4 linked regions of the Alligator mississippiensis genome follow. The protein of the gene in region 4 purifies or fractionates together with the protein of the main gene of each other region. This does not show direct contact. Links are inferred from orthologs where the notes say so. Each region holds a gene or a part of one and is shown on either strand. Other genes may lie near its edges.

Region 1 (6,931 bases), on a different chromosome or scaffold from region 4:
TCCTGCACTATACAGTACAATGATACTTGCTATCCACAAAAAGCACATTTATTAGACGTTATCCGCTGTAGTGAAAATCTGCTACTATAATGCTTTATACTTTGTTAGATCAAAAATATGCTACATCTGACCATTTATAATCCTGTATTTGTAACAACTTCTAAAATCAGAATATATTAGACAAAATAGTAGGACAGGGAACTTTAGACTGTGCAAAGATGAATAGTGGTCCCAACAAAGACTAAAGTTTTTAGTGTTAAAAATATACCTGAGTTTTGACAAATATGCTCTCCAAACATTGTCCTTTGTCATCAAATAAGGTCGCCTGCATTGAAACATAGTGAAATGTTAAACAATCAAATTACTGCATTTCAAAGAGCAGAGTGGATTTGGTAGACTCAGAGAATATATCATACTGTATTAAACTTGAACTCTTCACCTTACTTCCTCCAGTGCTGGTCTTCAAAACCCCATCTTGCCATACTTTTGATTTCTTGGTCTTCTGATGAGTGTATAAGACCTTTTGAATAAAATTGTGATAATTACTGAAATGATAATTTATAGTGGTTGTTGCACAAACACAAGAAATATTTAACTGAATTTTATATATTGTTAATAAAAAACACTTACAGTAAACTCTTGACAAGTCATTGCTTTGGATGGCTTTGCTTCATCAAAGGTCTACATTGCAACTTTTCACTCTCTCATGCTACCTAGGAGACAAATATCTTTTTTAGAAGACATCAGCAAATAATCTAATTTACAGAGGTGCAAAGCACCATTCATTTTAACTCAGTTGATACCTCTGAAAATGTAGCCATTAATTTTTACAAAGCACTTTGAAAATTAGAAGCTTTATCGTATTAACATAATCTTCATGCACACTGGCAATAAGAACTTAGGTTACCTCAAAAGGTATGATTTTCAGAAAATGTAGAATGCCCACTGTCTGAAAAATCCTTTTTTGTTTGCTTGTTTTGTTTTTACACATAACAAGTTGGCCCATTAAAATTTAAGCTGCTGACCCCCCCCCCCCCCCCAGTTAGCCAGTCAACAAAGAACAACATTTTATAAAAATATAATGATCTGTGTCTATGTTCAAAGGGTTGGACTTTCATTGAAACTATTGTCAGTTTTATTAGCTACTGGCACTATGATGAAAATCGACCACAGGGAAATAGCTAGTACTGGCACATGCTCCCAAACTACTTGCAATCTCTGGCTGCCTCTACAGACATCAATATGAATGAATGAAAAAGTATTTAAAAGTAATCATACATAAGAAAAGGAATATGGAAAGCCAAGAAATATTGGACAGCTGTAGAAATTATAGGAAACTACATGATAGCCAGCCTAATAAAAATATAGTTGGATCGATAATACAGATACTATATTTTAACTTTGAAGCACCATACCAGTAGTTACCAAACTGTGGTTCATGGGTGAAACCAATTAGTACACTCCAGCAGGCTCAATTAAATCAAGCCTGCTCCAAAATGCTATAATTACAGCACATTGAAGCAGCATCCCTGCGCATCTACAGACACCCTAGGACTCTGCAATGCTGTGGCTAAAATCTGTCATTCTGTTCCTGGGATCCACACTGATTCAACATTGTAAAAATAAATGTCATTGTTGTAGAACAGTTTCTAGTCAAATACAACTGATTTATGGTATTAGAGATGAGAGAGATTCATGGCAATGAGTCTCAAACTGTGCAATTGGTTTCATTACTTTATTAAGCAAAAAAAAAAAAAAAAAAAAAAAAAAAAAAAAAAAAAAAAATCTTCAAATGCTCAAATTCTACAACTTACCACCAGAGGGCTTTCCTGTTTCCCATATTTTTCGCTATCAGTCTTGGTTCAGCTGTATAGAAAAATCATGTTTCCAGTTGTGTAAATGCTAGTTCCCACAGAAAAGGCAGATTCTACAGTTTATCATCATTTTTGTGCTAGTGCTAGAAGAGGATTCTGGACTTCCAGCATTAAATAAAGCCATTTACATAAACATGTTACTCAAGAGAAGAGTAGTTTTCAGATTTTTTTTTTTACCTCTTCTTTAATAACAAAATGGAACTAGAACAATACTGGGAATTATAGAAGCAGTCATGCAAACTCAATGGAAACAAGTTTAAGGCAGGCTGAATAATAGGGGCACCAATACAGACTCTGTTTTCCCCTGGTTCATTGACTATTAAAAGAACATAACTGCAGCTGCTAAAATTGTAAATGACATCAAATTGGCTGTTCTTGTTCTATCATTAAATATTAAAACAACATCACCTAATTTTCACAAACAACCTTGAAATATTTTCAACAACAAAGGAAGAAAGAAATTAAAGGGGAAGCCAAAGAAAAAGAATCAACTTTCATCTTTTTTTTTTTTTGGACTGGGACTAACTGAAAGGATCAGTACCACTTCAAAGTTCTTCTAATGCTAACAGGTTACGAAAGATCAAAATAAGTCTGTTTCCCCATCACTCCTTTTATTACAAGGATTGTTTAACAGTCCCTCTCTTTCACATCATTTAAAGCAGAGGCAGGCAATTATTTGGGCTGAAAGGCCACATGTGAAGTTTTGTGAGCTGTTGAGGCCTGGGAGGAGAGGGGAGGAAAGGGGAGAGGGAGCCAGGGAGATGCCAATTGATCCTATCCACACTGCTAGCTACTGCTGGAAGCCTGAGGGAGCGTTGTGCCCCACACCACTCCACTCTGCCACAGCCAGGACCTGGCTGGGCCAGACAGTGTGCAGATTCCTCCAACACTCCCCTGCCCCACCATCCTGTTGGTACTGTGCAATCCTGGCACTGCAACAACTGTCAGCCTGGTCCACATGGGACAAGGCATGATGCAGCACGCTGAGTAGTTGTACCACCCACCCACCCACCCACCATGATGAGCTGCTGCAGCCGTGCCACATTGTAAAATGTTGGGGGTGACAGCCCTGAGTCAAGCGGGGGTCGTACCCAACTTTGGGGGCTTGGCTTTTTTTATTATTATTAATACATTTCATGTTCCAGGTCAAATCAACCAGATCAGTTCCACATCATACTACTGAGCAGAACTCAATCATTCCAAAATCCATATCGACCGAGCAAGCAGGACGCAGTCCCAGGCTTTCACCCTGGGACTTCAGACACTCCCAAATCCACTGGCAGGCATCCTACCTGCAGGCCCAAGAGATGCCCCTGCTTCACTTTAGCCCACAAGAGGCCAACTTCTGGGTTTGCTGTCAGTGTTTTCTTTTGCCTGCTTGCCTTGAAATAAAGAAATGCTTCGACTCTGACCCAGGTCTCACTCACACACTGGCGATTAGTGAGCAACATAAATTTAAAAAGATGGGTTATTGGCATATTTATTTGCAGATTTCTCAGGGTACGATCGCTTTTCAACAAACAAACACGATCGTTCTGAGCTTCCCATGCGGGTACTTTCATATTTAAGGTGTGGCAACGCTGCGTTCAGGTAACCAGGCGGGGACGGGACGCGGGCCCGAGGCCGGCTCGGCTCGGCTCGGCTCGGCTCGGCTCGGCTCCAGCCCCAGCCCCAGCCCCAGCCCCAGCCCGCCCCAACCTACCCCACCTCCCGCCCCCAGGCAGTAACATGGAGACAAGCGAAGGGAAGGTGCGTACCCACCTCACGGAGGGACCAAGTGACCGCCGGACCCTTTCAACTTTGAAGCTTTCCCGCGCCAGCTGCCGATGACGTTGTTCCTCTGCGCCGGCACAGAAGGCCCCCGGCTGCCCAAGCTTCGCCTGACGGGAAAGGGGAACAGGACCAAGCCGCTTCCTTGTCGGCCCCTGGCAACCGGCGTGCGCGTAATACGTCACGAGAGCGCCCCTCGCTGATTGGCCTGGCCCCGGAGCTTTCGCTCTGAGACTCGAGCGTCGCGTTGATTGTGACGTGACGGCGGGGCGGAACGGCGGAGCGCTGGAGGAGGCGCGGAGGGTTGTGGCCGCGGGGCGCCCGCGTGACGCTGCCAGAAGCCCCGAGCGGCCGGCGTTGGCAGGTCAGTGCCGCTGGGGGGGAGGGGCGGGCGAGAGCTACCGCGGCGCTTGGAAGGGGAATGCTGTGACGTCAGGGCCTTGTCATGGGGGAGGGGGCGGGGCCTGTAGCAGCTTGCGCGCGAACTCCGCGTGTCGCAGAGCCGCGTCCTGGCTGTTGTGGGGGGTCCTGCTCCGGTGGGGTCGTGTGCAAAGGCTGTGTCCGCGCATGTGTTAGCGGTTCCCTCCAGCATGTGCGCTGCCCCCAGGCCCCGCTTTGCCCTGGCCGTCGTGCTGTGGGCTGAAGGGGGCTTGGTGTTCCTGCCCACACTCATGCAGCTCCCTCTTACTTGTTAGTGGGAAGAAGTCAGGCCCTCCTCAGCTGACACTGACCCCATTGGCCCAGCATCTGACGGGCAAGACGTGTATACACACGTGTGCATGCACCTATCTATAGATATCTACCTTCAATACTACCAAGCGGCCCCTGTGGTTCACTTGGCAGGTCAAATCACACTAAAAACGTGTTACACAGTTCACACCATGCATCCATTTCCATACCTGAACCCCCACCCACTGCCCTCCTCAGAGGGCCTGCCCCTGAAAAAGTCTATGCCAGGCCCCTCTCCACCAGATAATCTGTCGTTTCTTTCCCATCCTCTTCTGTCTTCCTGTAGTACCACTTCTCCCCTCCGGCCCCATGGTTCCCGTTCAGGACGGTCTGTTCCTGAGTTTATCGCCCCGCAGGGCCCTACCCAAAATTGTGAACCTTCTCCCATTAGCCAACCCGTGGGCTAGTCCAAGAAAGTCTGCACTATATCTGCCTACATTTGTGAAGCTCCTCCCATCATGGAATCAGAAAATTAGGGTTGGAGGGGATCTCAGGAGGTCATGTAGTCCAATGCCCTAGATCAGGTGCTACCCAGGAAACTACCTAGTTGCATCAGTGTGCTCTTGGAAATAAGCGTGTTCTCACATTGAGGTGACAGGTTCATAGCTGACATTTGATATTTGCTCCCATTTTCTCTTCCTACTCCCTTGAACATCACCCTTTCTGAGGTGCTATTTCAAGGCTGAAGCGGAATGGGAATCGGAGAGGACAGCAGTACATGGGCTGAAATGTCAAGCTGCCATTGAAGGTCCATGATCACTAAGTGATATGCTGTCCCTAGGCTTTTAAAAATAAATCATTATATATCACTAAACTCATTAATGTTCAAATGGATGGCCCTCATTACAGTCCTGAACAAAAAAATATGGATTAATACACAACAGACCTTTCACAGGGCATGAAATGCTGAGTGATTAACACCTTGTACTGCAGAGACTATTTGTTTTGTTTTCTTTATTTGTTCTTTCTTATGCATCTGAGGTTACTGTTCTTTATGAAACAAAATCTAGAAGTCCTTTGCCCCTGTCAAAAATGATTTTCTATTTGCTTTTTTAAACTGTCAGGGAGGCCTATGCTTTCTCTTTAGGGAGATCTCTTTGGGAGACAAACTGAAGAAACAGGAGGCTGAAACTTAAGATCAGGTCTTACAGACATCAGCATAACTTAAACTTGCTAACTGTGCTATGCTACAATTTCAAGTACTTGAACACAACCTCTCAAAGTTACATTTACTTTTGCTTTTGGTATGAAGTGCTATGTACGTGTGCATATGTGAACAAAATTAAATTTTATTTTGTAAGCAGTAGTTACATTTTAACACTGAAGCTGTTGCTCATCTCATCTGTTTATGTTTGTTAAAATGGAGCTTTTGTTACAATTTTCCTTAATACCATTCGGAACATTTTTGCAGTCATGAATTAAACATAAATCCAAAGCACTAAAGCTCTCTTAAATCATCTTCAAAAATACAAATGTACGTGTTTATAAAAATATGCTGTCAAAATTTGCTTTACCTGTGGCAGGTTAGGTACAGGCTGATGTTGTGTCAGGGTTGAGGCTAGTCTTATGTAAAGTTTAGATTTATGGTTGTATGGAATGTTTTGGATAGGGATGATCCTGCCTCAGGCAGGGAGTTGGACTAGATCAGTGGTTCTCAAACCTTTTTTGTACCAGGACCCATTTGTAAACATTGATGGCCAGTCCTAGCCCAGTGTCCCTCACTCCTGACCCACTGCCCCCAAGCCCCCAGTGTATGGGGCAAGAGCTGGGGAATGGAGGATAGGGGGCCCCAAGCAGTCCCTTGCAGGCTGGAACTCTGACAGCCTGCAAGGGAGAAGCCACGGTTTTCCAAGTTTTTCTCCTTTAAAGGAGAATCCATTTTTTAAAGTTTTTTTTCGTGACCCTTTCATATATTCTTGTGACCCATAGGTTGAGAAATGCTGGACTAGAGGACCCTTCCAGCCCCGCTTCTCTATGATTCTATGACCAAAAGAATGTTCAGCATTGCAAAAAAAAAAGATAGGGTCAATGAGCTAGGGGGGAAAATCAGAATAAACTTATTCTGCCTCAACTTAAATATTACTTTAGAAGATAAAGAAATTTAAAAATAGCAAGTTCATTTATAAACCCTAGCAGTAATGTGTGAGCTAGTGTGGATGTCAGAGGCAAATAAGGCCATAAATCAATACAAGCAAGACAGTTATGTTTATAAGTTTAAGATACAGATTTTTAAAGACCAAACTTTTAAAGATTAAACTACAAATTCAAATGTTATTTCCTTCTTAAGGGGTTTTTGCTTGTAGCTGTGTTGGTCTAAAAAGAGTGACTGCACCCAAAAGCTTGCTAAGAACTTTTTTCCAACTACTCAGTTGGTCTAATAAAAGATATCACATCTACTCAAAGAACCTTGCCTGCCTATTTCCTTCTTAAGACATGTGAAAGTTGTATATTCACCAAGGTAATGGACAGCCATCCAAGTAAATGGTTTAGATCCCTTACAGTGAATTTTGTCAGGGAGTTCAGGAACGTACTTCCTGTAATAGATGTTACCTGTGTAA
Region 2 (7,817 bases), on a different chromosome or scaffold from region 4:
TGAGAAACAAGGTGGACACAGCAAGTTTGTTACATACGTAAAATGTTAGAAGACTGCTACAGGAATAAAGGTTAGCTTGGTAAACCAAGCTTAAAAAAAGCAAAAAAAGCAAGTAACACTTACTCTTATCTGATCTACAATTTTTCTGATCTGAGGTTCAAATCCCATGTCAAGCATTCTGTCAGCTTCATCAAGTACAAGGTAAGTGCACCTCCTGAGATTAGTCTTTCCAGCTTCTAAGAAGTCTATGAGTCTTCCAGGCGTGGCAATGCAAATTTCCACACCTTAAACCAAAGATGTTGATTAGCACACCTGACAAAAGTTAAGACATTGTTTATGTACTCGCCATGAAGAAATAAGTTCTCTTCATACCTCTTTCCAAGTCACGGATCTGTGGTCCTTTTGGAGCACCCCCATAAATACATGTGGACTTCAAACGACATGCTCTACTATACTCAGCAGCTACTTGCTGCACCTGTTGAGCCAGTTCTCGAGTTGGTGCCAGCACCAGACACTGGAAATAATTAGATTAGATTAGCTCTCTGTGCAATGATTACAAAACGTGTTTTATCTTTAAGAGAGAATGAAGATTTAAGGAAGTAATGAAAGATTTTATTTTCCGTTATGGGGAATGTGGCCAAAAAAAAATTCTATCCCAAGTGTTTAATTAAGAGCTAGAGAACTTGCTTTTTAGTAGGGCTCTCACAAAAAATCTTTTAGTTCCCTTGGTTTGGCTACCACTTACCCCATTTTTCAATTTTTCCACCAGTATGGACTCTTACAGCCAATACAAGAGAACATATGATTTAGGAGTGAACTAGCACTCCTGCTCTATTCTCAAAATAAGACATTATTTTGTCCAGAAGAGTATAAACACTCCTCCCTATTCATCTCAATATAAAAACGCAACCTAGAATGAAAGGATATTTCATATCAAGTTATACTCACAATAGGTCCATCTCCACGCTCTAGGAATGGCTGATGATTTATGTGCACTATGGCAGGCAACAGGTACTGTAGAAAAACAAAAGGCAGTTTTTACTCAAACCTGCTCCCCCCCTTATTGTAAAGCCAAAACAAGCTTAACTGCTATTACATAAATTAAAAACTAAGAAATTAAACAATTACACTAAAATGTATTAAAAAACAACCGAAAAAGAAGGAAACAGCAAAAAGAACCCCCCAAAAAACTTACAGACAGCGTTTTCCCCGATCCAGTCTGTGCTACTCCAACCATATCCAGTCCACTCAAGGCAACAGGCCATCCCTGGGCTTGAATAGCAGTTGGTTCAGTAAAATTCTGCCTCTGAATTACCTCCATAACATTTGCTGGGGAAAAAAAAAAGGGGGGGGGGGCATATATTAACTTGATGCTTCTATTTAATGAGCTTTGAATCAAATGCCTTGGCACTAATTGGCTAAACTTACCAGGAAAGTTAGCTTCGTAAAAGTTTATGAGTGGTTTTGGACAAGTATGGCCCTTAACTGTAATTTCTTTGCTTGCTCTGTATTGTTCAACCTCTTGCTGTTAAAAGAAAAGATGTTCAATTATTTTATTTATTTGAATTATTTATTTCGTTTCAATTATTTTAATAAAAAAAAACAAAAAAAAAACCCCATGTTACATTCAAATCCAGCTGCTGCTTGTAGTAACTTGTTTCAAGTCAGTACACTGGAAAGCTATCAGGCTCCAGTGGGTACAACCTTTGCAATATGAAGCCGATTAGGTTTAAAACGGCCAAAAAAAATAATTAAAAAAAAAAAATGGTCACAATACGTACTGCAGTACGCCGAACTACATCAGGATGCTCTTGGTAAAAATTCTTCTCAAATTTGGGCAGTTCATCCAAGTTCCATTTCTTTTTGGTAAGCTTCTCCCCCGGGTTTCCAAATTTCTTCCCGGAGAGGAGGCCGCCTCGACTCCCACCAAACCGAGGGGCTCCAAACCTGAAAGACGCAGACAAGGTTAGGACTGACAGCAAACAAAAGAGCCGTGGCAGGAACGAGCCCCCCCCCCTTATAAACGCGTGCCGGTGCCTACCCCGACCCCCGGGCTCCGCCGGCGGGCGCGCAGGAGACGCGGGCACATCTTTATCGCTGCGCATCCGACTCAAAATGGGAGCCGCGCGCAAGAGGCTCCGCTCCGCTCTCGGAGGCGGGCGAGGTGCCGCCCGGCGAAGCTTTTTGTGTTTCTCCCCCCCCCAGAAAGCCCTTCCTTGCCGACGGATGACGCGAATAAATAAACCGCCGGCTGGACCAGGGCCAAACCCGGCGGCTTTCGTAAGAGCGGGGACACTCCCCTCCTGCGTCAGCCGAGCGGGCAGCGCCGAGCCGCGTCCCTTGGGCGCTGCAGGCAGGGGGGATTTTTATTTTTTTCCTCCCTGGTCCTCCGTGCAAACCACCGGGGGGGGGGGGGGGGGGAATGCGGCGGCCGGCGCGGTGCCTCCGCGGGCGCTTGGGCGAGGGGACAAGGCGGCGCGGTGCCCCCCTCGGCGCCGCTTCCTTTGTCTGGCATTTCTGCCTACGCCACATTTTCCAGCCGCTGCCATTTTAGAGCCGGGCTGGGCGGGGGCGGGGGAGGAGGAGGAGGAGGAGGAACAAAGGCAGCGCAGCCGGCATTTTGATTCCCCTCAGCCGCCGCATGGCGGGGCCGGCCATTAGCATCCGCCCGCCGCACAAAGGCAGCCGGCCCGTGCCCCCCGCCCCGCACCGCGAACCGGGCCCTCCCGCGCCCCGCATCCACCCCCTCATGGCAGCGGCGGGGAGAGGGAAGCGGGCGCCGCGGGGCCCCGACCCCCGCCCGCCGCCGCCATTTCACGCGGGGCAGGAGCCGGTGGCGGGCGCCGGCCGGGCCCCCCCCCGGCCTCACCCTCGGTCCCTGTCGCTGGAGTACCCGGGCATGGCGGCGCTGCTGAAGGAAGCGATTTTGCTGGTTGGCGGCGACGTTAGCAGAGAAGAAATAAGGTCCCGAGGTGTCGGCGGGGGCCAATGAATGGGGAGCGCCCGGCCGGCCGGATGCCGGTTATATAGCCGGCGCCGCGAGGCATGCTGGGAGCCGGCTCGTGACGTCAGCGCAGAACCTGCCCGGCTGTTTTATGTAAGCCGCTGCCGGTGGGCGGGGCCTCCGCTGCCGGTGGGCGGGGCCAACGCCCCATAGGCGCGCGCTCCTGCCCGCTGGCTGGTTGGCTGCGGCGCAGGCGGGCGGAAGTGCCCCGCCCAATCCGGGCGCGGCTCGCGCTGCCCTCACACTGCTCGGCCCGCCGGCCGCGTGCCGAGAACCCCAGGCGGCTTCTCGCCCTTCCCCTTCCGCGCCTGCGCGGCTGAGCGCGCCTGCGCAGTGCTGATTTTCTATATGCAACAATTTCCCCCCCACCTTTCGCAATTGCACCCTCTCCCTGGGTGGCTGCGGCGCGCCCTCCCCGCGCCCGGCGTTTTCATCGCCCCCGTTCGCAGACAAGGAACCGCAGCCGGCCCAGCCCCCGGGGATGAAACTAGCCTTCCCTGGGAAAGGACCTGCGCAAGTGCAGGGTGGCTGGACCCGACGCTCTGTGCAAGACTTTGGAAATAGCTGAAGCCCCTGGTGGGGGTGGAGGATGTTTCCCAGCGCAGGGCCGCTTACGGTTCTGGACTGACTCACGGATTTGGACTTCATGTGGCTGGGAACATGAAAAATTTCATTAAAAAAAAAAGTAAATCTGTAACATCTAGGAACCCCCGCAGTGCTGGGCAGCCGGGCTCCTGCGACTCTGCGGGGCAGAGGCATTTGTAGAAAGTGTTAATGTTACAAGACAACGGGTGCCCCCTGCCCCTCTCCGGGCCCTTGTGCCCTGCGCACTCTCTGCTGCGAGGCGGCAGCCCCCACTGCCAACTTGCCACAGCAGAACAGCCAAGGCAGCGTGTCCTGCCCATTAAACCACCCTGGGCGCATCTACGTGTGCACATTTACTGCGCAGTATGGGCACGCGTCTACACGTGCATGCTTGTACTGCACAGTAAATATGGCTACTTACGCCATCATGAGCCTAAATTTGCTACCTGCATCATGCTGGTATCAAATTTATTATGCCTGATGTGTTACTGCGTAGTAACACTGTGGATTGATTTGGGTCTAACTTTCGTCCCAAGTCACTCCACACAGCATTAATGTGGCCCACACATATAGACCCTGGCCTATTCCCATTTATTGCACAAATTTACTGCACAGTAAGTTACTAAACCAGCATGTATGCATGTGTAGACTGTGTAGCTGCAGTGCTGTCTCTCACCTGAGTTGAGCTAGATCAAGTGACGTAACCCAAACAAAAGTGCAGGGAAAACACCCCTAAGGGCATAGCTACAAAAGCAAGTTATGCTGAACTAAACTAGGGTGTGAACTCAGGGTGTTGGCACATACACAAATTACCATGAGGTAAACCAGGGTGTGACCTCCATGTTACCTATTCCAGAGGTCACTGCCCATAAACATGCTTTTACCCAGCAGTAAATGCAAGGTGAGGCACCCAGTTGACACCCTTCCAGAGTAGGAGCTGCTTGACAGTAGCTGCCCATATGCACACTCTTACTCTGCAATGAGCAGCAGCTTCCCTTTGGGGAAAAAAGGAAGGAAAAGCTACCTCACTGCTCATGGGGAAAGATCGTTCAGAAAAGCACTTACCACAGAGCAGTTGCAGGGCAGCCTGTACTATCAAGTACATGCCTCTTCATCCCTTTATTTACCAAAAAGGGCTTTAGTTTCATATCACTCCTTTTTCTAGTAATATGTACATACTAGATCTTTTTCTTAGTCTTTCCCAGCATTGCTACCATTTAAAACATTAAAGAAAATACCTGGCTTCAAAAGAAGATTGAGGCTGTGGGTATGGCTACCCCAACAAGTTAGCCTGGGAAGAGACAGCCAGCCTGCATGTAGTGCAGCATGACCCTGCAGATGTGTGGCATCGCAGACTGGGGAGGGCCCAGGCACTAGAAAGCAGAACAGCCAATGGGCGGGGAGTGCAAATCAGGAAACAAAAAAACAAAGCAGCAGATAGGGCAGGGAGCTGAAAGCAGAGCAGCAGATCAGATGCAGGAAAGGGATCAGAGTGGCAGTTTCAGGGGGTGTGGGGCAGGGATAGGCAACCCCTGGCATGAGTGCCAGTGTGGCACAGGAAGACATTAGGCTTGGGCAGATGGCGGGGTAGGGGCCAGGTCTGTGCTGCCACAATGAGGACCAGACCCCTCATGGCTCCCATGCCACCCACCCCTGGCACACCAACATCTTACAAGTTGCAGGTGTATTTGGCACTCTGCCCAACAACGTTGCCTACTCCTGGCGTGGGGCTAATTTGTGGCGTACTTGACAAAATGGTTAGGCCCCCACTGAACTGGGGGATGAATTTATAGCATATTAGCTACTCTGTGGTAACCATCTGTGTGCACACTCTTAGCTTGAAGAAAATGCAAGGTACCTTACCTCACTTTTACTGAGGGGCGAGAGCTACCTTGCATTTATTGCAAACTAAGAGCATTCACATGAGAAGTTGCCATGGAGACTGGCTAATGCACTGTGAATTCAGCATTAGCTTACCTGGATACAACTTGTAACCATACCCTGAAAGTCCTATTTGCACCCAAGGTGAAACAGTAGCTGCAAGAGGTGCAAACAGCTCAACTGACCTCAAATCAAATAGTTAATTACAATGCTTTGGCAGTCCTGGAATGATGTTGCAGCCACGATGGTTAAGGAATCATGCAAGAAACAAAAGGATCTTTGTGGGTGATATCTTTAATTGGACCAACTGCATGATCGGTGTAAAGTTAGATCAGCTTTCAAATGCAAGGTTTGTTTGTTTTTTTTAATCAGGTGTGCAGGAAGAAGCAGGCACAGCTATGATTAAAAACAGCGTGTAGGGCTGTGAAATTGGAGGACAGATTCCCAGGGGTAGCAGACAAACAATTACCAGAAAAAAGAAGCTTGGATTAACAGGCGATCAAGGTCTATCAAAAGGGAGGAGGCTCATTATCACCTTTAGTGATGAGGAAGGATTTGGGGAATTGGGTAGATCACAGTATGCCATAGTGTTCAGTCCTTGGTTCTTAGCATCTAGCCAGCTTATCACAGTTCCCCGTGCAGCCATGCTGGAATGACCCAGCTGGGGCCTGTTCACACACACCTGCACCAGGCTCCAGCTCAATTCAGCTATGTGGGAATGGGGTCCTATCCTGCTGGGGAGGGGGGGGGGGTGTTGAAAATTTGGTGTTGGGGGCAGCAGCAGTGTTAGTTGCCACTGCTCCCCCCCCCACCAAAATCGTTGGACCCACAGGGAGACCTGAAAACTCTGTGGGTCAGATCTGGCCTGTAGGCTAGGGGTTGAGCACCCCTGGATTAGAAGAATCATTAAATAACTGTAGTTCATACTTGACACAAAGCAAACACTGAGGAAAAAAAATCCCCAGCCCCTCCTCCACTCCTGGCTTTCAAACAACCTCCTTACTTTGCCCAACTCAATGTCAGAAACAAACTCCCCATTGCTGAACTGATACCAGAAGGGGCACATCCAGCCTTACCGACAGATTTAAAAAACCCACAAAAAAACCCCAAAAAATTGTCAACACATCTCCACTGCTTTAACAGTGAACACCAACCAACTACAAACCCATCAAAATCCATGGATCCTACATGCACCTCTCCCAAAGTATGATATATCCAACCCACAGCAACAAGTGCCCTCAAAATAACTATATAATGGGTGAAACTAAACAAACTGCACACCAGAATGAACTGTAAAAAAAAAAAAAAATTAAAATATATAAAGAACAGAAACACACAAGTGCCAGTAGGAGCACATTGTCTCCACAAAATAATAATAATAATAATAATATAAAATAAAATGAAATAAAAAATCACTTCTTTTCTGACCTTACTATTCCCATGCTCAAGGGCAATTTACAAACACTTACAAGGTGAACTCAGAGCAAGATTTCATGACATTTAGAATCAAGGACTGAACCCCAATATTGACTTCATGGCATATTATTAGCTGCCAATTCCTGAAATTCTTCCTTCACACTACAGATAATAACCACCTTCCTCTTCTGAAGAGTCATGATCTCCCATTAATCAAGCTTCTTTATCTGTTGTTTGTCTGCTGCCCTTGGGACTCTCTCTCCTCCAATTTCACAACCCTACACGCCATTTTAGTGTTCCTGCACCTGCTTCTTCCTTCAAACCTGATGAAGAATGCCTTGTAATCAAAAACTTTATCACCATCATGCAGTTGGTCTAATAAAAAAAGGTAATCAGCTACAAAAATCCTTGCCTCTTCCAAATACAATGCTGTTACTTGTCTAATTGATGACATAACTTCCACCTGACATGCTTGTTCAATGCAGATACACGTTCTAGAGCTGTATAATCTAAACTGTTTGCAATGAAAAAAAGCTGGCCTAGGGAAAGGAGGATGATTTTTGTGGCAGAGACACGTAACTGGAATCAGGCAATGTGCGTCCGCTTCCTGGTTTTGTAACAGACTTCCTTTTTCACATTTGGTGAACCTGTTAAAAACAAACAAACCCCTTTGTGCTTCAGTCTACCTACTTGTAAAATAGGAGTAAGACTTCTCTCCCACTCGGAGCCGTTGTGAACACTTAAATGAGGCATTCAGAAGATACAGCCATCTCCAGCCTTATACTGTAAACCTCGGTTTGATACCAGTAAATGACTGGTTTGTCTCTCCCTCATTCACTGCTCCCAAGGCAGCAGTTTACATCCCACTTGCCTGTCTTGGGCCTGTTTTATGCACCAGACATGATGCATGTGTAGGACTGTAATGAACCGG
Region 3 (7,403 bases), on a different chromosome or scaffold from region 4:
TGACTGACAAGTCTGACCCGCCCTTGAGTATCCAGGCAGAAAAGCTGGGTGGGACTGTAAGAGCCAGCCAGGTACTTACTGACAATTTTGTCCACAGAGTCGTGGTCATCGAAGGTGACAAAGGCAAAACCTCGCTTTTTGCCACTGCCGCGGTCTGTCATGATCTCAATCACCTCGATCTTGCCGTATTGCCCAAAGTAGTCCCGCAAATGGTGCTCCTCTGTGTCTTCCTTGATGCCCCCGACAAAGATTTTCTTTACTGTTAGGTGAGCACCAGGCCTTTGAGAGTCCTGCACAGGACAGAGAGGAAATGCATGAGGGAAAGAAGCATGACACAAGCACCCATTCTCTATGCAATAAAGGTGGCATCACATGGACCAGAAGCACATAAGTCACAAACCAGTGCATTGAAACTGGCTGCTCTCCTGTTGCCTGAAGGAGCACCTGGTGGGTGGTTAACAAATCCCCACCTACACCAGACCCCACAGTAAGGGGAAAGGGCTAATTCTCAGCCATGTTCCAGTGCAAAGGTGCCCATAAAGGCACAACTGGGGATTGAAATTGAGATGGAAACTGCAGCCCACCCCAAAACCACAAGCAAGATGGGGGAACTTTGTAACCCAGTCTTTCCGTGAGAAATAGCAGAGACCACCTTCCCACCCCCCCCAAACACAGCCAATGAAACAACAGGCTGCAGAAGCTACCTCGGGAGGAATCGTTCACAGCACAGAACGTAAGGAGCTAGAGCAACTCCCATAAATTGGAGCATGCCCAACCAAGTCTCAAATGACCAGAGCAGCCACGCAAATGAAGGGCTCCACTGTTAACTCAGCCTTGGTACAAGATGGAGGAGCACGCTTATCACCGACTCACTGGACTAGTCTTGTTGTTCCTACCTCTCTGGACACAGCCCTCTTTGGTTCAACAACTCTGCCATCGACTTTGTGCGGTCTGGCGTTCATGGCGGCATCGACTTCTTCAACGGAGGAGTACGTGACAAATCCAAAGCCCCTGGAACGCTTGGTGTTTGGGTCCCTCATCACCTAGAAAACACAAGTCTCCATGAGCAACCCAGCAAAGACGACACAAGTGCACAGAGGGAAACCTAGAGAGAACATTAACTGGCATTTCAGAACAAAAATACATATAAATGCATGACTAAGCCAACCCGATTCGTTTTAAGCTGCAGACAGAAGTGCAGCTCCTAGCTGTAAACTCAACTTGCTGCTTAGCAAGAATCTTCTACATTACCCCAAACCAAACAGAAGTTCACTGTTAGTTCCAGGGCGAGGGGAATGGAGGTGCTTTCCAACACCAACAGCCAGAACTCTGCCATTGCTGTTTGCATGATGGGAGGGGGAAAAAGGCAGCAGAGAGAGCTCTTCTGGGGGCACCCAAGCTGGTACTGAAGGGTTGGTGGACTAATTGGTGTGCCCCCACCCAGGGGGGGGGGGGAGGGGGGGTGTTTCCTAATACATCCACCCCATACTCCAGGGGGATGGAAAACCCCCCAGACTGAACTCCCTGTTCCCTTCCCCCCTCCCAATCTGAAAAGGAGGGGCTGGGAGCTCTGCAGACACAAGTTACACAAGGTGCTACATTTTGTAACGTCTTTATCCGATTCCTCATGCAATAAACTGCTTTTTGTGGCCAGAGGAGAAAGGTGTCACTTGTCCGCACCCTTATAGCACATTATATATACTTAAAAGTAATTATTTGCACAAATAAAGGTGATAAAAACACCCACTCTATTTTAATAGGTGCTAATCTCTCTGTAATCAGTTTCTTTTCTTCTGCCATTTGCCTGCTACCCCTGGGAACTTTTCTCCCCATTTATCCCATATGCGCTGTTGGCTTTTACTCAGACAGGATGCTGTTTGCGCTTGTTTAATCACATCAACGGCAGTGCATCTTTAACACCACAAAGGCAGCTTAAGGAAACCCATCCAACAACCCCAAAGCACCAAGGCTTTCAATACTCCATCGGACCAAGGCTAGGACAAGAAGACCCCGACCAATTTTCAGTCTCCTCGAGTACAAGTGCCACACGAGCTTATCTACCCCCCACCTTTCTCCCACGCAGGAAGAATATATAGCAGCTCATTAAATGGGTTTAACTCAGCTGAGGGGCCAGCCCGGGACACCCACCACGCAGTCGGTGAGCGTGCCCCATTGCTCAAAGTGGCTGCGAAGGCTCTCGTCTGTCGTCTCAAAGCTCAGACCGCCGATGAAGAGCTTGCGCAGCTGCTCGGGCTCCTTGGGAGACTAGAGAGGAATAGCAGGGAGTGAGCGGGAAACGAGACCTCGCAGGACTGGGGGCTAAGCTCCCGCCCGCAGGTACCCCAAACCCGCCCCCCCGCCCCTGCCGAGCCACGCGGGAGCCCCGGGAGAAAGGAAGCTCCGGCGCATGCGCAGTCGCCACGGCGCGCCGAGCACAAAGGCGCCCGCCCGCATGGCCCCGCGCGCCGCGCATGCGTCGTCCGCCCCGCCGGCCACGCAAGCCCACCCCCACTTGCGCAAGCGCAAAAACCGCTCGGCGCCCTCCGCCACGCAGGCGCAAACCCCAACGGGCGGGAGGACCCCGGCGGACGAGGAGGCCCCGACGCACCTCGGCCCTGGACATGGCGGCGGCAGCAGCGGCGATGCGGGCTCCTTGAGGTGCCGGCTCCGAAAGGGGCCGAGCAACGCCGGCGCCACCGCCTCACCCCGCCGGCGAGTTCCCATTGGGCGGCAGCCGCTGCGCCCCGCCCCCCTCACCGCCTCCTATTGGCGGAATCCCAGAGGCTGCAGGCTCTCATTGGTGGAAGAGCACCCGCGCCCTCCCCCATTGGCCAGGACAGAAACGATCCCGCCCCCGATCATGGCGACCATGCGCAGAGCCCCGCCCCTTCCCCCACCCCCCGCGCTCACCTTCTTTCCCGCTCGCGGCTCCATCCGCTCCATCGCGGGTCGCCCTGCTCCGCGCCGCCGCCGCTACTACCTCACGCCGGGGTCCGGGCACAGGTGGGAGCGGGGAGGCGAGGCCGCGCGGACTCCACCAGGGCGAGAAGCCGCGCCGCGGTTCAGACGCGCTCTAAGAAGAGGCCGGGGGCGGGCTCGCGCACGCGCAGCAGCGCGCGGGGCTCGCCCTACTGCGCAGGCGTAGCGGTGGGGGGGGCGGCACCTAGGAGGGAGGGGTCTGGGCGCTCATGCGCGGTGCGAGGCTCGCCGGCGCATGCGCGCTCGCGGGCTGTTTTGGCGGGCGGCGGGCGTTGCGCAGGAGCGGAGTGGAGAGGCAGGGGTGCCGGATCCGCTGCATCCCGAGGTACCCGGGCGGCGGCGCGGTCCGGGGGCTCGTTGTATGCAGTGAACGGGGGAGTGCGGGCGGGCTTGACAGACACGCGCGTGGGCCAATGGCGCGGCGCGTTGGCTCCGGGGGGGCGGGGCGGAGGCGCCGTTGCCTGAGGAGAGCGAGAGCAAGGCGCGGGGCCGTGAGGGACGGGCAGCTCCGCCAATGGGGCGGCGGCTTCGGCACCGGGGAGGGGCGGGGCCCCGCCGGCGGACGGGCGACGGCGGCGCCCAATGGCCGTGCCGCTTTTCTCCGCGCGCGCCTGGAACGCGGCCGGATTGGCGGGAGCGCCAGCGGCGCCGGCCAATCGGCGGCCGAGGTGGGGGGGGCTAAGCGCCCGCCCCGCTGCCCGTTACCGAGTTACCCCCCCCACCTTAGAATGGATCCAGGCGTTCGATCCTCATTGTGACGTCGGGGGGGTGGGGGTTACCGCACCGACCACGTGGGTGCGGGGGAGGGGGGGCTGGGACCCTGTTTGGACCCGCATACCCACGAGGGACCCCCCCCCCCCCACCATGGCCCTAGGTCCCCGCTTTAATGCGTCCGAGGAGCGGGGGTTGGCTTCCGGTTTGGGGCTGGGGCTGAGTGTCGTTCTCGTGCCAATCTCCAGGGCTGGTCCTCGCGGCTGGATCCCCACCCCTTTCGGGAGAGCGGAGCAAACACCTCGCTTGTATGCCGCTAACGGGGGTGGGGGCTGCTCTTCGTAGGCCAGGGGGAACTTTGGCCCACCTCCCTCCCCCCCCTCCCCAGCCGGTTTTGCAGTGGGGAGTAAGGGTTGGGCACGTGGGGCGATGCCTCACGAGGGCAGCGGGTGGGAACCCCGCCGCGTGTCGCAGCTGGAAATCATGTGCGCGAAGGCTTTGGGCGGCTTTGGGGGTCCTTGGCACCACGGCTGTAGCACGGATGGGAAAGGCTCCGATTGGGAGACCTTTTCCTTGTATTGAGGCAGCGGGGGGGGCGGCGCTGGGGAGGAAGGGAGGTCCTGCTTGGCTTGCACAATAGCATGGGGGCCGTCCACGGTGGAAGCTTTTCTGGCCTTCAAGCCAGAGCGAACACCAGTTGCTTCCCCGCCTCCCTCACACGAGGCCTCGGAGCATGGGCGCTGCTGGTGGAAGCTGCGGCCATCTCGTACCCTGGCTGCAGCGCGCGGCCCCTTGCAGCAGATCAGTGCGCTTTGCAAATGGAGCCAGGGAGGTGAGACCACAGCTCCTCGGCCAACAACGAGCCATGAGCTTTCCTTCCAGCTGGACCAGACGGCCAGGTACTGACGAGGGGCCTGGGCTTAGCCTTGGAGGCCTCCTCTGGTCCCAGAGCACGGCGAGGCGAGATTGCTGCGTTTTTTTAACGCTTCCCACCCCCAGGGGATGTCTAGTCTGCAAATGTGGCTGTGGCTGCGGCCTCTTACCCAGCTGCCCCCTACAACGCTCCTGTGTATGTGACTTCTCTTTGTAATGGTTCCAGTGGAAAGAAGCACTTGGGTCCCAGATGCGTTGCAGTGGCTAACAAGGGGAGCCTTGTGTTTAAACAGAGCGACTTGGAGAGCCGAGAAGGGGAACGGGCTCCGTGCAGGAGCAGACTGGGTTTCTGCCCCCCGGAGGCCATAGCAGCGGAGTCCCCCTGCCTGCGCCTCAGCCTCGTGCTTCTCTAGCAAGCCCCGGCCTGAGCTTTAACAATGGGCGGCGGTAACTTCAGCCCGACCGGCAGCGGGGTTTGCCTTTAGGCTCCGCTGGGATGAACGGGGAGCTCCTGCTGCTGAGCCATTGTCTGCCTGGCTAGACTGCTGCAGCAGGGCTCGGCTAGCCTTGCAGTATCTTAGTAACCAGACGGGCTGGCAACTGCAGCTGTGTCAGACTGGGAGGGGCTGGTGCTGCGTGGAGACCCCGGCAGGCTCCTGCTGCCTCTTTCTCCCAAATTAACCAGGGCTGGTGTGTGCGTGCATCTGCTGTGGTCCTGGGTAGTTGGGGTGGCATCAATGGGAGGTGATGGATCAGTTGAGGCGAAACCAAAGGGCCTCAGCTAGGTGAACTCTTGCATTCCTGGGAGGCTCCCTGCACTGTCCTGCCTGTGCGTTGGTCTGTGGCCTGGCCCAGAGGGGTTTCGAGCCGTGGCTGGGGTTTTCCATGCCATCGGAGAACACATGGGACAAAACAGATGAGTCTTGGGAAAGATGCCAGAGGCTAAATCCTGCCCTGTGCAGAAGACCCAGCGCTCTGGGCTTCAGCCATGTCTGCTGCCACGGAGCAGGATTGACCCCCACGTTTTGGTGGCCTCTCCAAGCCACCACCTCTCCAGGTGAATTAACTGCCCGTCACCAGACCGTGCTGGAATCTTGCCTCCAGCAATAAATACGCCCTCATGTTGAATGCAAGCCCCTGGCGCTAATGAGACATTTAAGGTTGGTTACACAATTAAAAGGGCAGGAAATTTCAGCCGTGGAGTTTCCGCTGGGAACATTAACTCTGCTGCATTGCGCTTTCGCGACGCTTTCAGGGAGCACGGGCGAGTAAAATAGTGACCTCCGCGCTAAACCTGAGCTGGGAGCGTGGAAGATGGATGCGATGAGGAATCCGGCTAATATTGCTGTTGGAGCCTTCGCTCCCGCGTTCCTCGCCTGAGCGTCCTGCCCTTCCCTCCTCCGCGTTGTAGCTGTACATTGAATTTCCAATGCTCTTTTTCTTTTTAACAGAAAGGGGAGGGTGTGAGAGGAACAAAGGAGGCCGGGAAGTGCCTTGGAACTGGAGAGCCGGTAGGAGCTATCCCTAGACCAGGCAAGAAGGAGCTTTCCAGCAGGGCCAAGTTCATCCATCTCAGAGGCATTAGCATGATCCAAGGGCACACGGGCCATTTCCCTCCACTTCAAGCACCTCCGTTTATTGAAGAGCTCTTCCTTTCTTCCTTGTGGGAGAAAGGGTTGTCCTGTGAACCCAGGTAGCGAGCACCTTGTCCAGCCACACTGCCAGCCCCTGTTTGAGAGCCTGATGGCTTTTCTGAGCCTGTAACAAGATGTGCGAGGGACCTTCTTCCACAGGAAGCTGGCCAGATGGGGAAAGGAGTTGCTTGCCATATATCGTGCTAGACACCTCCTTCATCCATGCCTAGACCAGGAGGAATGTTGGTGCCTGTTAAGCAGCATGTGCTGGATTGGTTAAATTAGGCTCCCCATAAAACTATCTAATATGCAGTGGCTCTGTGGTCCAAGCAGGGAATGGGGGATTTACTTGGATACTTTTGTCCCTAGGTAGAAGAAAAGGGGTGGGCGGGTGTTAGTGATCCTGTTAACCAGTGTCACTACCCTATAGCAGACAAGGGAGCTGTGGTTTTAGCGTGCTCCCTGACAGCCTAGGCACCCTCCTTTTTGTATAGACTTTGTGCAACAGAGTCTAAACCCAGTCTGTCTTGCTGGCCCTCAGGCTTCCCTGGATTGATCCTTGCACAGAAGCTGTGGGGAATCCCAAGCTCTTTAAGAAGGGAAACGCCTTGGATTAAAATGTCTGGTGCCTGTGGTGGCTCCAGGACTTAGCTAAATTCTCTGCTTGTAAAAAGGTGTCTTAGTTCTGGCCTGTATTTCCTTAGCTTCAGCTTCTGGCTCGCTGTCCCCTTGTCTGCTTGGTTGAGGAGTCCTTGATCTTAGCGTTTCCAGTACCTGGGTGGGTATCTGGGGTGGTCTCAATCTTCTTTTGGGCTCTTTGCTCTCATGGCAAGGCGAGGGTTCCCATCCTTCAGTCGTTCTTATGGCTCTTCTCTGAGCCATCTCTAGCTCAGCGCCCTTGACCGGTGGTCCCCAGCCTGCACGCGGTGTTCCAGCACCAGTCACTCCAGCACCAGGTAAGGATCTTGTAGAAACAACTTGCGGTTCCTCTGCCCTGTCTGCCACAGGGTTATATTGGAGGCACTTGCTTTCAATGATTATCCTCGATGCCCCAAGTCACTGCTGCCAGGAGAGAGCTCATCCTGTCAGTACAGCCTGTATTTGTTCCTTGCTGTTAGCCACAGCCCACCACGGTCCAGCTGCTGCCCTTGCGATGGAGCCCCCCTTGATATCAGCACTCCATCCCCAACAGCTCCCCCTTTGTCG
Region 4 (6,969 bases):
AATTACAGTGATGGGGGAGTGGGGGAGGAGGAGAAAGAGAGAAAGAAAATACCTAGTCTTCCTTCCTTAGCAGTGTGCGCTACGTGGGACAACTAGGGATAAAATCTAGTAAGATACTTTGCCACCAAAAACAACACACAACTGAATGCACAAAAAAAAAAGAGTCTGATTAAGGAATACCTTTGCTTTCCCTTTCCATACTTGAAATGAACTTCAAAGATTTAATATTTAAAAGTATGCAACACTAAAAAGATGACCACAAAATCAGGTAAGTGTATATAGATGTTGTATGTGGTATCTGATATGGCTCAACTTCTGACCTGTCATAAATAAAAAGCACTGCATTCAAGTAAATTTGGATAGTGTAACCTTCATGTGCAGGCACAGAACTATGCCTAATTTCAGAGGGTTAGTGAATTGTTTTGCCCCAGATGTGTGCAAAAGTCTCAGGTGAAAGATATACATATATATGTAGTGTCCAGAAAGAGATGAATTCAGAAGGTGCACATGAAGATGTACCTCCTGAAAGCAGTTACTGATTATCAGTATATATATTGTGTGTGGGGATTGTTCCTGGAATACTAATAAGACCATGTGGAAGTGCAGTCAGATGTGTTACTAAAAACTCCATATTGCAACTCCCAGCTACACAACTGAAGACAACAGGAACTTTATACTATTAAAGTATACTTCCAACTACTTTGTATTTTTAATTGGGTATCCTGCCCATACCCTGTCTCACAATGTGTTACTGTAATAACTAGCTCTCATGAGGTTCTACTCACACAAACTAGGAGGTCAAATTTAATCTGGTTTTGAATTACCTGGAAAATGCTTTTATTTTAAAGAAACAATAAAAAAAAAATCAAAATGGTCAAGCCTCCATGTTTTCCCCCATAGATGCTTTCTATTAACATGACAAATCAAAAGAAAGTATGGCAGCTGAAAATAGACTTCTCTGGACTGCTATTTAGCTATAGTTTGACCACCATGGAGCAGAAGTGGACATAGTCAACTTGAACATGCAACAGATATAACTAAAAAGTTCTACAGAATTTGGACTCTGAGCCCGATTCTGGTTTTAATATTCTTTGCAGATAACTTGGAGGTCTAAAAGTAGGACAGTTAAAATACTGAATGCCAACCATTTACATTATTAATGCATCAAAAGTAGTTGTTTTAAGCTTGTAGCTCCCCTTCCCAGCATCCCTGGAGCACAGCAAGACAATCTGATACCACGCAAAAGAACTACTTTTAGTCTAAAGCCACAGTACGTCTCAAACCAAAAAGGAAAAAATAAGGAAGTTATGAATGAGGGGAGACAAGGGGTTATAATGGGAAGCTGAACTCTGACATGATTACTGAAGGACCTTCCAGTCACTAATGAGATTCATTCAAGTTTTGAAAGAAGGTATATTACAACTGTTTCTCTCATACAAGTAAACTGTGGTGTAGTAAAAACAACCGTAACTTGGTCTTATTTAGAACTTACTTAAAAAACACGCTACAAAATATTCACTGGTTCATAGTTATGAACACAGCACAAGGTTGGTCAAGTTTTTATTGGGAAGATACTGCCTCTACTAATCTCAATCTTTCTCAATTTGATTTCTACTACAGCATGTGCTACTGTTAATGAGTATTTTACACCCTCACCCCTCCAACACAGTAATTCTTAGACTTAAATCACAACATGTACTAGAAAGTTTGGGGGATCTCAATTCCCATTCTTGGCATACAGAAAGATGGGCACAGCTCTCAGGCTGAAAACTACATAGAAGACACTAATGAAGGTACCCAACGCTGCCTGTCATGGCCTTAGACACTCCTACCACGATTTCACGGCAGTCAGTTAGCAGCTATACTAGCGCTGTAGGTGGTCAGCGCAATTAGATCACTGCACAAAGTGATGGTATTATATTAACCTGACCAGTGGTAGATGAACTCGATATGCTGCCAGTTCACTCAAATTAAGCACTGGGGTGGCTTGTAAGCATGTGTGGGGCAATGTCTGAGGGATAATTCAAAGCGACCCTGCAGAGGGGTCTTAACATTCATTCATTTGAATGTCTCAATGCCTCTTCTACCTACTCCACACAGCACGGGTGCCAAGATACATTTATTTAACACGTGAGCTTCCCCGCAAAAAAGAAAAAGAACAAAAACTGCTTTGCAAGACAGATCATCAAGCTCCACATGTAACAGAGGGACATGGATATTAAATTCCCGCTTTTAAAATCAACAAGTTTTGCAGATAGATCTGCAAAAATAATAATAAAAAAAAATGATGGGGAAGCAAAGCAAAAAAGCCAGTCGCATCCCAGGCGGGCTGAGCTGAGCTGAGCAGCGGAAAGCGGCTCCCCCCAGCGCTTGCGCGGGCGCTAAGGCACCGGGAATCGCTCGGCGCGGCCGGCGGGAGAGGCCGATCCTCGCGGCCGGGTATTTCCTGCCGCGCAAAACATCGCGGCTGCCAGACTTTCCTGGGAGGAGGCTGGGGAGGCCCCGCAAAAGCGCGAAGCCCCCCCGAGCAGGGCCCGGCGGCTCGCAGCGAGGCGGGCGGGCACACAAGCAAGCACGTCCTCCTCCGCCGCCTGCGAGCGCGGGGCCGGGGCCACCGAGGCCAAGCTTCCCGCCCCCCCCGCGCACCCACACGCACACACGCGCGCGCCCCGGGCCCGGTGCTCCACGTGGCCGGGCGCTGCCCCACCCCGCCAGGCCTGGGCGGCCCGGGCCCCGCCGCCTCCAGGCCCGGCGCGGCTGCGCGGGGCCCGCCTCCTCCGCCAGCGCCAGGCCGCGCCCCTCCCCGCCGCCGCTGCTGCGCGGGGCCTGCCCGCCTCGCCTCGGCCCCCCCCCGCCGGCGGCGCCGCGGGACTCACCGGAGCGGGAGCGGGGCCTGCGCGGCGCAGCTCGGGCCCAAGCAGCGACGGCAAATGGCGCGCGCTCCTCCTTCTCCTCATGGACGGCGGCGCGACCCCGGCGGCACGCGGGGTTTCCCGGAACTGCTTCCAGGGACCGCGGCGTCGCCGCCGCCCGCCCACCGTCAGCGAGCCTCGCGCCCGACGGACGGCGCCGCCAGCCAATGGGAGCGGCGCGGGAGCGGGGCGCTCGGCCCCCTCGGCGCTTGGGCCCGGCCAATGGCGGCACGCGCGAGCCGGCGAGGCCCGAGCGCTGGGGTTTAAAGGGGCAGCGCCGCCGAACAAAGGGAGGGAGGTGGCTTCGTCCCGCGAGCGCCCCCTATCGCCAGGGGGCCGCGCCCGAGAAACCCGGTCCAGCTGCACCGAGGAGGCCACGCGTGTGTGCGCACGTACAGCCCAAGTATACACTGTACAGACACGGACCTAAGGGTGTGTCGATACACACGTATATCTGGTAGATACGTGCATGATAGATAGATACAAGGGTGTAGGTTGTAGCCGTGTTGGTCTAAGGAGATAGGCAGACAAGGTTCCTTGGGTGAATTTGATATCTTTTATTAGACCAACCCAAATGGTTGGAGAATAATTATTAAGCAAGCTTTCGGGTTCAAAAACCTGATAGATAGATAGATAGATAGATAGATAGATAGATAGATAGATAGATAGATAGATAGATAGATAGATAGATAGATAGATAGATAGATATAGGGGTGTAGGTTGTAGCCATGCTGGTCAAAGGACACAGGCAGACAAAGGTCTTTGGGTAAATCTGATCTCTTTTATTAGACCAACTCAAATAGTTGGAAAAATTCTTCTTAGCAAGCTGTCGGGTTTAAATACCCTTCATCAGGCTGAGGAAGCATCTGCACTTGGTGTGTGCTCTTGATAGATAGATGTCATTATGCACCCTTCGGTTAGTCTCTAGGGGTGCATCTACATGTTCAGTTAATGCACTTTAGATTACGTGTAGTAAATCTCGTACCTCCATTGTGAGGTACTGGGAAAATGGGCCTGAGCCTATTTTAATGTGCACTAGGCTAAAGAGCGTGTTTTTTGTGATGCCTTAACGTACATTAAAATAGGCTAGTGTGCATTAAGTCGTGCGTGTAGACGAGCCATATATAACCAATACACACACTCTATATGTAGTGTGTGTATATAGTCTGTATGGTGCATATCTACCCCACCTGGTACTTGCCTCAAGGCAGCTGCTGCAGCTGGGTCAGTGGTGCTGTAGCCATGCTGGCCCAGCCAGGATGTCATACAGGTTTCCCTTACTTTATGCAGGTTCTGTATGTGCGAATTTGCTCTTATGCAATGATTCTTTTCATACTAAAAATTCATTATAGGCGAGGTAAATTCACTCTTATCAGTGTGATGGAAGCCTGCTGCCCAGGGCAGCTGGTGCCCGTGCTTCTGCAGCTGCCCCGGGAGCGGCGCAACATCACATGCATCCCACCGCTGGGCGGGCAGGGGGCACAGTGCAGCCAGCAGCACTGATCCTGGAGCAGCTGCAGCTGGGCACAAAGTGCCGCACGCAGTGGCAGCCACCCGTCTGGTGTTGGAAAGTACCAAAATTGTCTTAAAGTGGTAGGAATGGATTTGGGAGTCAGTACAGTCGAGGTCTTGGAACATATCCCTACTTGTTGCATTGTGAAGTGGGTTCCCTTTATGTGAATTTGAGTTATGCACTGTTTTCCAGGAATGCATGTACAGCATAAAGTCAAGGAAACCTGTAAGTGTGTGTATATATTAAAAATGTGTACGTATATGATAGATACATAACTGTGTGTGCATGCAGAAAAGGACCTGGGGCTTACAGTGGACAATAAGATGATTATAAGTCAGCAATGAGCCCTTGTTGCTTGTTGCCAAGAAGGCTAACAGCATACTGAGCTGCATTAGTAGGAGTATTCCCAGCAGATCAAGGGAAGTAATTATTCCCCTCTACTCTGTGCTAGTGAGGCCACATCTAGAGTATTATGTCCAGTTTTGCCCCTCCCCACCCACTACACAAAGGATGTGGACAAATTGGAGAGTGCACTGAAGGGCAACAAAAATGGTTCAGGGGCTGGTGCACATGACTTATAAGGAGAGGTGGAGGGAACTGGGCTTATTTAGTCTGCAGAAAAGAAGACTGAGAGGGGATTTAATAGCAGCCTTCAACTACCTGTAGCAGGGTTTCAAAGAGGATGGAGCTGGGTTGTTCTCAGTGGTGACAGATGACTGAACCAAGAGCAATGGGCTCAAGTTGCAGCAAGAAAGGTTTAGGTTGGATATTAGGAAAAAAAATTCTCACTAGGAGGGTGGTAAAGCACTGGAACAGGTTACCCAGAGAGGTGGAGGAATCTCCGTCCTTGCGGGGCTTTACAGCCTGGCTAGACGAAGCCTTGGCTGGGATGATCTAGTTGGGGATAGTCCTGCTTTGAGCAGATAGTTGGGCTAGATGACTCCCTGAAGTCCCTTCCAACCCTAATTTCCTATGATTCTATAACCTTAATTTTCTATGATTCTATAGTTCTATGATATATATCTATCTACACACACTTTGGTTAGACTATATGTTGGCTACACATAGACTATATATTGGTTATATATAGATAGATATGTGTGTGATATATCTATAGATATATATATACACTCAGAGATAGATATGTGTCCGTATGTATGATATAGATATCTATATATACAGATATCGATATATACAGATAGATAAGGGGCATGCTGAACTTTCTCTAGCGGTGCAAAACCTTTCAAACTACATGAGAGAGGTGTTTGGGCAGTCATCTACTGGATATGTTTAATATTAAGTGTACTGTTACCAGCTTCATGCATTAGTGCTTAGCTTCACTGCATTCAGACATGTTAAGGGCACCTCATTTTATTGTGCACATGCACAAAACCTTCATGTTCCCTTCATTACAAAGCATGCAGGGGTAGTGCCCTTCAAGACACAACACTGAGGTGTTGCCTTAGGGTCTCCCTCAGCCACACAGCATCTGGGCAAGCACCAGTAGCTAGCTGCCCCACTCTCTGGCTGCTCAAATTCAGCAGTCTGACAATTTCCATGTGCCACTCTGCTGGCACTTTGCAAACAGTGTTTGACCAACTGCAAGCAGCAGCAAGTTCAGGGGTACTGGATCCACTAAGGTCCATCAGGCTTTCAACAAAAGCATTTTTAATGGCCATCCTGCACCTGCTTTCTGTTGGCAATTTAATTTCTCTTTGTCACCAAGTATCTAGTGGATGGCTTCATGAGCCAAGGCTGCAAAATGTGGGCTGGGTACCCCAGAAACACCATTGTCATTTCAACGTTAGCAGTACGAAGGTACCTGCTGGGGAAGAATGTCTTTGCCCGTATCTTTTGAAAAAGTTCTGCATTCTTCTAAATGTGAGCATTATGTACCTTTCCTGGCCAGCCAGAATTAATGTCTGTGAAATGTTCTGGGTAACCCATCGGTGCCTGCATGAGCATGGAAAATAACCCTTTCAGTTTGTAAACTCGGGATAGAGGCAGGAAGGAACTGGGATACCTGTTCTGTTTATTGACCTCCACAGTTAAGAAGCTTTTGAAGCAAGGGGATTCTTATGTCCTGCTCATTGCCCAGTCACAGTTGTCTGCAGCAGGATAATCACGCTTAATAGTTATGCATACACCCATGATGACTGCCCACCCCATCCCCTTTTCAACCACAAACTAACTGTTCACAGACTGTTGCCTACAACACCTTTTTTAACCAGTTAGTCTCTATGGTACCTCCCTGCTGTGCCTTCTGCCTGACATTACTCGGAGGCTGCAAGCTTCCAGATATTAAGCCATCTACTTTTCAACTGTAAAAGCAGCTCTCCCTTTCTGCTCTAAAAAGGCTGAGATGAGGTTAACATATACCTCCAGAAACATGGCCCCTTCCTTTGGAAGTCTGCAGCTCTTGCTCATTATCCTGGATTCACAGCACTGATTCCTGATTGGTGCAACTTGCACTTTTACACACTCTACATCAGGGGTGGGCAAAATAGGGCCCACGGACTAGAGGGTCTTTGTCCAGCCTGCGGT

The links.
Region 1: the proteins of HNRNPR (region 4) and LARP7 purify together in Homo sapiens (affinity purification with mass spectrometry; 4 studies listed by BioGRID and IntAct, with this or other methods). This does not show direct contact. The link is inferred for Alligator mississippiensis from reciprocal best matches to the Homo sapiens genes HNRNPR and LARP7.
Region 2: the proteins of HNRNPR (region 4) and DDX5 fractionate together in Homo sapiens (co-fractionation; 3 studies listed by BioGRID and IntAct, with this or other methods). This does not show direct contact. The link is inferred for Alligator mississippiensis from reciprocal best matches to the Homo sapiens genes HNRNPR and DDX5.
Region 3: the proteins of HNRNPR (region 4) and HNRNPA1 purify together in Homo sapiens (affinity purification with mass spectrometry; 7 studies listed by BioGRID and IntAct, counting the BioPlex papers as one, with this or other methods). This does not show direct contact. The link is inferred for Alligator mississippiensis from reciprocal best matches to the Homo sapiens genes HNRNPR and HNRNPA1.

The regions. Positions count from the first base shown.
Region 1 is NC_081825.1:125,983,094-125,990,024, reverse strand, and holds the start of LARP7 (la-related protein 7), read left to right. Parts: upstream 1-3,914; 5' UTR 3,915-4,008; intron 4,009-6,931. Other genes in the region: protein ZGRF1, read right to left, coding at 269-325, 440-520, 631-651. UniProt on the Homo sapiens protein: RNA-binding protein that specifically binds distinct small nuclear RNA (snRNAs) and regulates their processing and function.
Region 2 is NC_081831.1:6,442,897-6,450,713, reverse strand, and holds the start of DDX5 (probable ATP-dependent RNA helicase DDX5), read right to left. Parts: upstream 3,008-7,817; 5' UTR 2,902-3,007; coding exon 2,870-2,901; intron 1,948-2,869; coding exon 1,782-1,947; intron 1,526-1,781; coding exon 1,429-1,525; intron 1,330-1,428; coding exon 1,196-1,329; intron 1,015-1,195; coding exon 949-1,014; intron 515-948; coding exon 373-514; intron 285-372; coding exon 124-284; intron 1-123. UniProt on the Homo sapiens protein: Involved in the alternative regulation of pre-mRNA splicing; its RNA helicase activity is necessary for increasing tau exon 10 inclusion and occurs in a RBM4-dependent manner. Binds to the tau pre-mRNA in the stem-loop region downstream of exon 10.
Region 3 is NC_081838.1:7,977,970-7,985,372, forward strand, and holds the start of HNRNPA1 (heterogeneous nuclear ribonucleoprotein A1), read right to left. Parts: upstream 3,002-7,403; 5' UTR 2,944-3,001; coding exon 2,911-2,943; intron 2,717-2,910; exon of another isoform or gene 2,624-2,716; coding exon of another isoform or gene 2,609-2,623; intron 2,266-2,608; coding exon 2,149-2,265; intron 1,044-2,148; coding exon 897-1,043; intron 291-896; coding exon 80-290; intron 1-79. Other genes in the region: CBX5 (chromobox protein homolog 5), read left to right, coding at 3,215-3,304. UniProt on the Homo sapiens protein: Involved in the packaging of pre-mRNA into hnRNP particles, transport of poly(A) mRNA from the nucleus to the cytoplasm and modulation of splice site selection.
Region 4 is NC_081829.1:9,933,817-9,940,785, forward strand, and holds the start of HNRNPR (heterogeneous nuclear ribonucleoprotein R), read right to left. Parts: upstream 3,014-6,969; 5' UTR 2,958-3,013; coding exon 2,877-2,957; intron 1-2,876. UniProt on the Homo sapiens protein: Component of ribonucleosomes, which are complexes of at least 20 other different heterogeneous nuclear ribonucleoproteins (hnRNP). hnRNP play an important role in processing of precursor mRNA in the nucleus.